Linked DNA regions of Ovis aries. The protein of the gene in region 1 purifies or fractionates together with the protein of each later gene. This does not show direct contact. Links are inferred from orthologs where the notes say so. Each region holds a gene or a part of one and is shown on either strand. Other genes may lie near its edges.

What was found.
Region 2: the proteins of ASB9 (region 1) and CUL5 purify together in Homo sapiens (affinity purification with mass spectrometry; 6 studies listed by BioGRID and IntAct, counting the BioPlex papers as one, with this or other methods). This does not show direct contact. The link is inferred for Ovis aries from reciprocal best matches to the Homo sapiens genes ASB9 and CUL5.

What each region holds. Positions count from the first base shown.
Region 1 is NC_056080.1:13,444,442-13,447,993, reverse strand, and holds part of ASB9 (ankyrin repeat and SOCS box protein 9), read left to right. Parts: intron 1-3,357; coding exon 3,358-3,465; intron 3,466-3,552. UniProt on the Homo sapiens protein: Substrate-recognition component of a cullin-5-RING E3 ubiquitin-protein ligase complex (ECS complex, also named CRL5 complex), which mediates the ubiquitination and subsequent proteasomal degradation of target proteins.
Region 2 is NC_056068.1:17,272,193-17,276,540, reverse strand, and holds the start of CUL5 (cullin-5), read right to left. Parts: upstream 2,839-4,348; 5' UTR 2,410-2,838; coding exon 2,386-2,409; intron 1-2,385. UniProt on the Homo sapiens protein: Core component of multiple cullin-5-RING E3 ubiquitin-protein ligase complexes (ECS complexes, also named CRL5 complexes), which mediate the ubiquitination and subsequent proteasomal degradation of target proteins.

The DNA.
Region 1 (3,552 bases):
AGAGAATCAGGTCTGGCAGAAAAGGAGCTCTTTTCAGGAGAGTTTGGTTGACAAAGGCTAAATTTATGTCATGAGCTGGGTCTCTGGGTGATTATGTCTTAGCAGGGAATTAGGAACATGTACTGGAGCTGGGGATTTAGATTTGAAAGCAATATGTAATATATAGAGGGTATTGAGAGACAAGAAAAGGATTTGGGGGCAAATCCTTGAGGAAATGCCTGCATTAGGAGATGTAACGAGGAGAAGAACAGAGTTAGTGAAAGAGACAGAAAAAAAGGCAGTCAGAGACTGGAGATAATTTCAGGTAGAAGTCTGTGTTAGAAGCCAGGGCACAAGTTCCATGAGGTCAGGATGAATATGTTGCAGATTCAGAGATGGAAGGAGGTGGGGAACAGAGCAAGGCATACTGGATTCTGAAAGTCACTGGTGGTCTTTAAAAGCGGTATCAGCAGGATTCTGTTGGTAGAAAATGAGAGAAGGTATAAAAGTAGAGATAATGAGGATAGACTATTTTTGGAAAAAAAGGGGGGCCAGTGAAGGGATGAAGAGCCTTGAATGGGTGCTTCTCAGAGGGTCAGGACTGAGGGCTGGGAGGACTTTGAAAGCAAAAAGAAAGTGTACCTGAAGAGGAGCGAGCAGGGGAACGCATGAGATGAGAAGGTAGATGAAGGAAAGTCCTGGGGGTGGTGGGAGGACCGGGTGAGGTCATGGGCTATTGGACTGAGCTCATCAGTTTCTCCCACAGAGAAAGGAGCAATGGGAGAAAAGAAGACTGGAGAAATATAAAGAGATGTTAGGGGTGGAGAGGAGGGTAATGTAGAAAGCTCTCACATCAAATGGCTTTGACCTCCTTGGTAAAGTAGGGAGGAAGTGATGTGTTTGGATGAATGTGAGTGAGATGGAGGTTTGTGATCTTCCTTTCTGCTGAGTGTAGAGAAGGAAGTGATAACTGTGGATAGGATAAATGATAAAGCCTAACCTTCTTGTGGTTGGTTGGTTGTCTGAGTAGGCATATGATTTGGAGCTGAGACAGAAAGTTGCCAGGTACTAAGCACTATGTCACCCATGGGTGCCCTGGTATTGCACAGCCCCATGGAATCATCAGAACTTCTGACTCTACGCTGAGATTAGGGGACAGACAATTGATGACAGAAGAATTAAAGGTCAGCTATTCGATCCGTTTTTTTCTGAGAACCCACTGCAGACTGGACCCTCTCTGAAGTAATGGGTTAAACATTACCTTAAATGGTATATGATTCAGACTTGACAATATTTCAGACAAACTGCCTCAGTTCATTTCAAGTCAAAATTGCATATCTGTGATGAACTGTAAATACAGTCCTCAGTTGGCACAGGGAAGCTTAATTTAAAGGAACTTCTTTGTAATGTGAATATGTAATGAGTGGTGAACATTTTTGGAATGTAAATAATTTCTTTTTTGCTTTTTCATTTACCTGGATTTATGTATAAGCACCTAAATGATTTTGAAATGGCAGTAGTGGCTATAGGAGTATATTTGTGATAGAGGAATTCTGAATAAAGAATTCCTTTAAAGAATAGTCTTCTATCATCTCATGATCTGTAGCACAGAGAAAAATGCAGTTAACATTTTGCTGTGAATTTCTGGTGTATTCTACCAGTGTGTGGGGAAGAGGCTGGATAAACAGAGAACGCTGAGAGTGGGAAAAGAATGGATTTGAGAACAGATCTTTGAGAGGAATGCCTTGAATAAAATAATGACAGTAATGAAACAGAAGATGCTACACTGTGAAGTCCATGGGAAGTGCTTGTGAAGGGAATAAATGCTACAATTCAAATTTTTCTCGAGTCAAGGGGTTAGGGAGCATTTGTTTAATACAGATGGGATTTGAGGTTGTGAAGGAAGGGAAGATACAGCCCTATCCCTCCCTGCAAACAGCAGAGCTAGTATGGCAAAGTGCTGAAATGGATTTTCAAGTTTCTTGTTTACAAGCAGATTATTTTGAGTCTTTCAGAACCCCTTCCTAGACCCACCTTAAAAAAATATCTCTGGATCTGAGATCCTGTGAACTCAAGTGTGTGTCCAGAATGATGGGATATATCAAAATGCATGACTTGCCTGTCAGAGGGTAACAGCCCAAAGGACAGCATGACTGGGGGGCTGAAAAAAAGGCCCACAAAAGTAGAAGAATGTGTGTTAGGGATGATGGTGAGTGAGATAATCTAATAGAATGATTTTAGGCAAATTTATTCCAGAAAAATTTATTTATTCTGGGCTTCCCTAGTGGCTCAGATGGTAAAGAATCTGCCTGTAATGCAGGGGACCTGGCTTCGATCCCTGGGTTGGGAAGATTCCCTTGGAGAAGAGCATGGAAATTGACTCCAGTATTCTTGCCCAGAGAATCCCTTGGACAGAGGAGCCTGTTGGATTACAGTCCATAGGGTCACACAGAGTCAGACTTGACTGCAACGACTTAGCCTGCATGCATTCTGGGAAGAAAAGGTATAATATTGAGTTGACCAAAAAGTTCGTTTGGGTTTTTCTGTGACATCTTACAGAAAAACCCAAATGAACTTTTTGACTAACCCAGTATTACCAAGATGTTGATTAAACTATCCATGCTCTTAATTGACATATGCTAAGGAAAAGAACTTTGATTGTACCTGGTTTCTTCCTGTTAGGAATAGATTATATATTCTAAGATCAGGGAGTCTGTGGAGCCTCTCCTTGAGTTCTTTTGATGTTCTGCTTGGATTAGGTTCAGGATCCATCTCTTAGAGAGCACACTTTCCAAGAGGTTGAAGAACCCCACGACCTTTCAGACACTTTCTTGCTTCTTTAGCGCTAGACTACTGGAGTGAGAGTGTAAATTGTCCCTTTGCCTCTCTGTCCATGGAGGTTCACCTAATGCTTTGGACTGTCTTGGTCATGTTTTGCTGTGTAACAAAGTACCCTCTACGTTAGTGGCTTCATGTACAGACATGTATTCACAGTGTCTGTGGGGCAGGGATTTAGACACAATTTACCTGGGTCAGGGACTCTTATGAATCTGCAGTCAGAAGAATATATATTGGCTTCCCTGATGGCTCAGCATAAAGAACTCTCCTGTCAGTGCAGGAGATGCAGGTTCGATCCCTGGGTCAGGAAGATCCTCTGGAGAAGGAAATGGCAACCCACTCCAGTATTCTTGCCTGGAGAATTCCGTGGACAGAGAAGCCTGTTGGGCCACAGTCCATAGGCTCACGAAGAGTCAGACACCACTGAGTGACTGAGCACATAGGTGAGCCAGGTGAACTTTTGAAAGAATGTGGATTCATGGCTGAGCCCTACAGAACTGTTCCAGTGCACTCCTCACTCTGCCCATTTCCCTCCTCCAGGGGTGGCCGGTGAACCTCATCACGGCAGATCGTGTGTCTCCATTGCATGAAGCCTGCCTTGGAGGTCATCCCTCCTGTGCAAGCATATTATTGAGGCATGGAGCTCAGGTAAGTACAACTCAAACCCCATCTTCGACGCCACTACTGAAAAATGACTATTTCTATCCCTTCTAAATACTTTCGAGCATTTTTTAT
Region 2 (4,348 bases), on another chromosome or scaffold:
CTATGAATTCTGGTAAGGGTCTCCCTGCCATTTCTCCAAGACAAACTTCCTACTTTTTCATTAAATATTTCTAAAGGCATAAATACAAGACAACCCCCGCCATCCCCCCCATCCACACACTTCAATGAGGAGAGAAAAAAAGGAAAAAAAACTTTTCTGACCAATGTAAATAAGGAAACTTTTGGTGATACAGATAAAAGAATCAAATGTCTACTTATAATATCCACTGTTAGTTGTATGTATTTAAAAATCACATACTACATAAAATATTGAGAAATTCTTTTACCCCCTTTTCAACATCTCATTAAATAATTTTATTGAAAATTTTCCAGTGTATCTGTCATCTTTTTGTATTCCCTAGAGACTGTGACTTTTACCAGTTTTGTCAGAACATTATCACTTTCCTTTTATTTATAAAAGTTGAGTTACAGAACTGCTCGAATTATGATCTTTTTAACCTAAGTCTTAAGCACCTATTTCTATACATTCAGGTGTTTTCAGTTTATAGGTGGGTGTGTGCTATACATACAGATTCATAATCTCTACAAGGTAACGACTTAAGAGTATTGAACGAAGGAGCTTCAGACTTTTATCTCCTCCAAACAATGCTTTGTAAGGCTTTGTATGGAGTAGAATAAAGTGACTCACTCTTTCCTGAGACACAAATCTGGGAGGAAAAAAAGACTTTGCTTTACATCCACATTATCAGTAAGTCAAAAATTCACAATTACTTCTTCAACACATTTCAATTAATAACATACACTATTGGTTATGTAAATACATGGATACATTAACAGGAGTCTTTGCAAGTTAGTTTTCTTTCTGAATTAATATATTAGAACTTTGCTATACTGCTATAAAAGAAGTGAGTTACTCAACTCCCATGAACTTGTCTTCTTAGAGAAACAGCAGTAGTAACTGTAGCAATTTATGTGTATTGCATGCCAGTTAAGATCCAGTCGCTGTTTTAAGATTATACATATACTAACTCAATCTTCACAAAGTTCCTATGAAGTAAGTGCTATTGATAATTTCACTATATTGATGAGGAAACTCAGGAACGGAGAGAAACTTGCCCAAAGTCATGGAGCAGAAATTCTAAGTAGCAGAAATTAGGTCTAGTTCTAGGTCCCTCCCTCTTTTAAAAGAAGACACGGGGTTGGGTAGGAGGGGAGGGGCGGGGCGGGGAGGGGCGGGGGCGGTGTATATATGTTTGTTAGTTGCTCAGTAGTGTCACTCTTTGTGACCCTCTGAACTGTAGCCGACCAGGCTCCTCTATCCATGGAATTCTCCAGGCAAGAACACTGGAGTGGGTTGCCATTCCCTTCTCCAAAAGAAGACACACTGCCTCTAAAATTAGTAAAATTAGAGGGACTAATACAGTTAGTATCAGTAGTCTAAAGAAGACAAGAGTGAGGTTACAGTAAGTTTTAATATATTTTCTATTCTCTATCAACACTGTCTGAAGGCCTAATTGACAGGGTTTTTGAGGGAGAAGTAGTTCATCCACTACCCCCATTTCAGTAGTACTTTTAAGGTATAAAGTATTGCCTACTACAAACATACCACAGACGAAACTAGTGTCAGGTCTTCCTCCTTCTCCTCTCAACTTTGTAACTGATGGTAAAGAATCCGCTTCTCTAGGCCTAGATCCCCCTTGCTATCCCAAATACATAAAACTAACTTTAACGGTTGTCTTTGATAAGGCAACTTTCCTAAGCCCTAAGACAACGGCAGTGCTTCCACTGTAGTCATCTGGTTGCGTGCTGTAATGGGGTTGAGGAACAGTTTCCTAAGTTAAAAAGGGTAAACATACGAACTCAAGAAAGGAAGAACAGAAGAGAAGGTGTAGCCCGCAGTTAAGGGAGGGAGTTGGGGCTTCAGGCGCTGCCGTCTGACTTGGAATTCCGCGCAGACAGAATGAGAAGAGAAACTGAGGAGGTGGGGATCCAAGTCATTAAAACCTGTTAGCAACATTTTCTGGGATTTTCTTTTCTTTTTTTTTTTTTTAATGCGTCTCAAGACTCCCGCTTCAGAAGAAACTGAGACCCTAAGGACACTAACTGACCGATCCGTCAGGACGCTGCACCACCTTTCTTCCGGGGTCCCGAGCCAGCGCTGGCCCCTTGAGACCACTGCCCGCCGTCGGCCCTCGGCCGGGCCTTTCATACACCAGGCAACCGGCACCAGGGACAACCAGGGCCTCTCGACCCCAAGGCCGGAGAATCGCGTTCCACTCCTCGGCGGCTGCCTCCCTGGCTTCCCTTCCGGTAGACAACCCCTGAACACTCCCCCATTTCGCCGCTGAACCAGAACCGAGCCATTCCCCGAGAGCTGAACCCACCGCTCCCGGAGTAGAAATCCAAGACGGACTGAGGGTCTTACCTTTAACAGATTAGACGTCGCCATATTCCTTCAACTTAGACTCTCGCGAGACCGCGCGAGATTTCGTGGAGCTCCGTGCCAGGCCACTACTGCAGGCCCGAGTGTCCCACCTGGGCCGAGGGGCCCCCCGGCCCGCACTGTGGATGTGGTGGGCGCCGGCGTGCACACAGCGCTGACCTCGTCCCTCACTCCCGGAGCTTCCTCGCTCTTCCCTCCCTACATGGTCACCGGGGCCTCCCCGTACGAGAGAGCTCATGCAAACACTCGGGGAGACGGCAGCGGCGAAAGGTGAGAGGGAACAGGAGCCGACCTGAAATCGGAAGAGGAAGCATCGGCTCCACGAGCCTCCCCACTCCTTCAGATGAGCCTCTGTGGTGGCACCCGCAGAGGCCACTGGCAACGAATTTAGCTCGGTTTGGGACCGGCCGCTCTGGTTCGGCGGCCGCGTCACGTGACGCGGCAGGCGGGGCCGCGCTCGGGAGCGAGCGTGGGAGCCTGAAAGCGTCGTGGGCCCAGAACACGCCGCGAGGGCGAGGGGACGCCCTCTGCTGGCAGGAGTATGTGTCTTCCACCGCCGCGTGCTGTGGGGAGGTTACGAAAAAGACGTTATCCTGAGTGAAATGCTTGTAATAGCTGTTTTCAAGAACTGGCGCATAGAAGGGCCCCAAGAAATATTTGTTTGCATGAATCAATGAATCCATGCACGAACGTGTTAACTATTAATATTTCTACTCAAGAGGGCCTGGCACTGAAATAACCTCTAAGAGGTTGATCAGGTATACCAGCACATCCTATACCCTAAGACCCCTACGCTTTATCACTTCAGACCTCAAACCACTGGCCAAATAAAGGGAATATAATTTATATGTAGAATCTACAATATACCTGTGTGTGCTTTTGAACTGTGGCATTGGAGAAGACTCTTGAGAGTCCCTTGGACTGCAAGGAGATCCAACCAGTCCATTCTAAAGGAGATCAGCCCTGGGTGTTCTTTGGAAGGAATGATGCTAAAGCTGAAACCCCAGTACTTTGGCCACCTCATGTGAAGAGTTGACTCACTGTAAAAGACTCTGATGCTGGGAGGGATTGGGGGCAGGAGGAAAAGGGGATGACAGAGGATGAGATGGCTGGATGGCCTCACCGACTGGATGGACGTGATTTTGAGTGAACTCCAGGAGTTGGTGATGGACAGGGAGGCCTGGCGTGCTGCAATTCACAGGGTCGCAAAGAGTCGGACACAACTGAGCGACTGAACTGAATTGAACAATATACCCAGTATTGTATTCTACACATTTCCGAACTGTTCATTCATACATAAAATGTGAGAAATAAGTTAGAGCTATAGAGTCCCTTGGACTGCAAGATCCAACCAGTCCATTCTGAAGGAGATCAACCCTGGGATTTCTTTGGAAGGAATGATGCTAAAGCTGAAACTCCAGTACTTTGGCCACCTCATGAGAAGAGTTGACTCATTGGAAAAGACTCTGATGCTGGGAGGGATTGGGGGCAGGAGGAGAAGGGGACGACAGAGGATGAGATGGCTGGATGGCATCACGGACTCGATGGGCGTGAGTCTGAGTGAACTCCAGGAGATGGTGATGAACAGGGAGGCCTGGCGTGCTGTGATTCATGGGGTCGCAAAGAGTCAGACACGACTGAGCGACTGAACTGAACTGAATAGAGTAAAATAAAGCAGAGAAGAGGAATGCAGTTTTAAACAGAGGGATCCAAGTAGATCTCACTGAGAAGATGGCATTTGAGCAAAAAGACTTGAAAGCGGTGAAGGAGAATGCCAGGACATATTTGGGAGGACAGCAATGGGGGGAGCACAGGTGGCAAGTTGCCCAGAGTTTCAGAGGAACAGTTAGTTAGAAGGTTAGTGTGTTTAGAGAGAGAGTAAGAAGAGCAGAAGGCCTTTTCGGGCCTTGTAGACCACAGCAAAGACTGGCTCTTATTCTCAGTG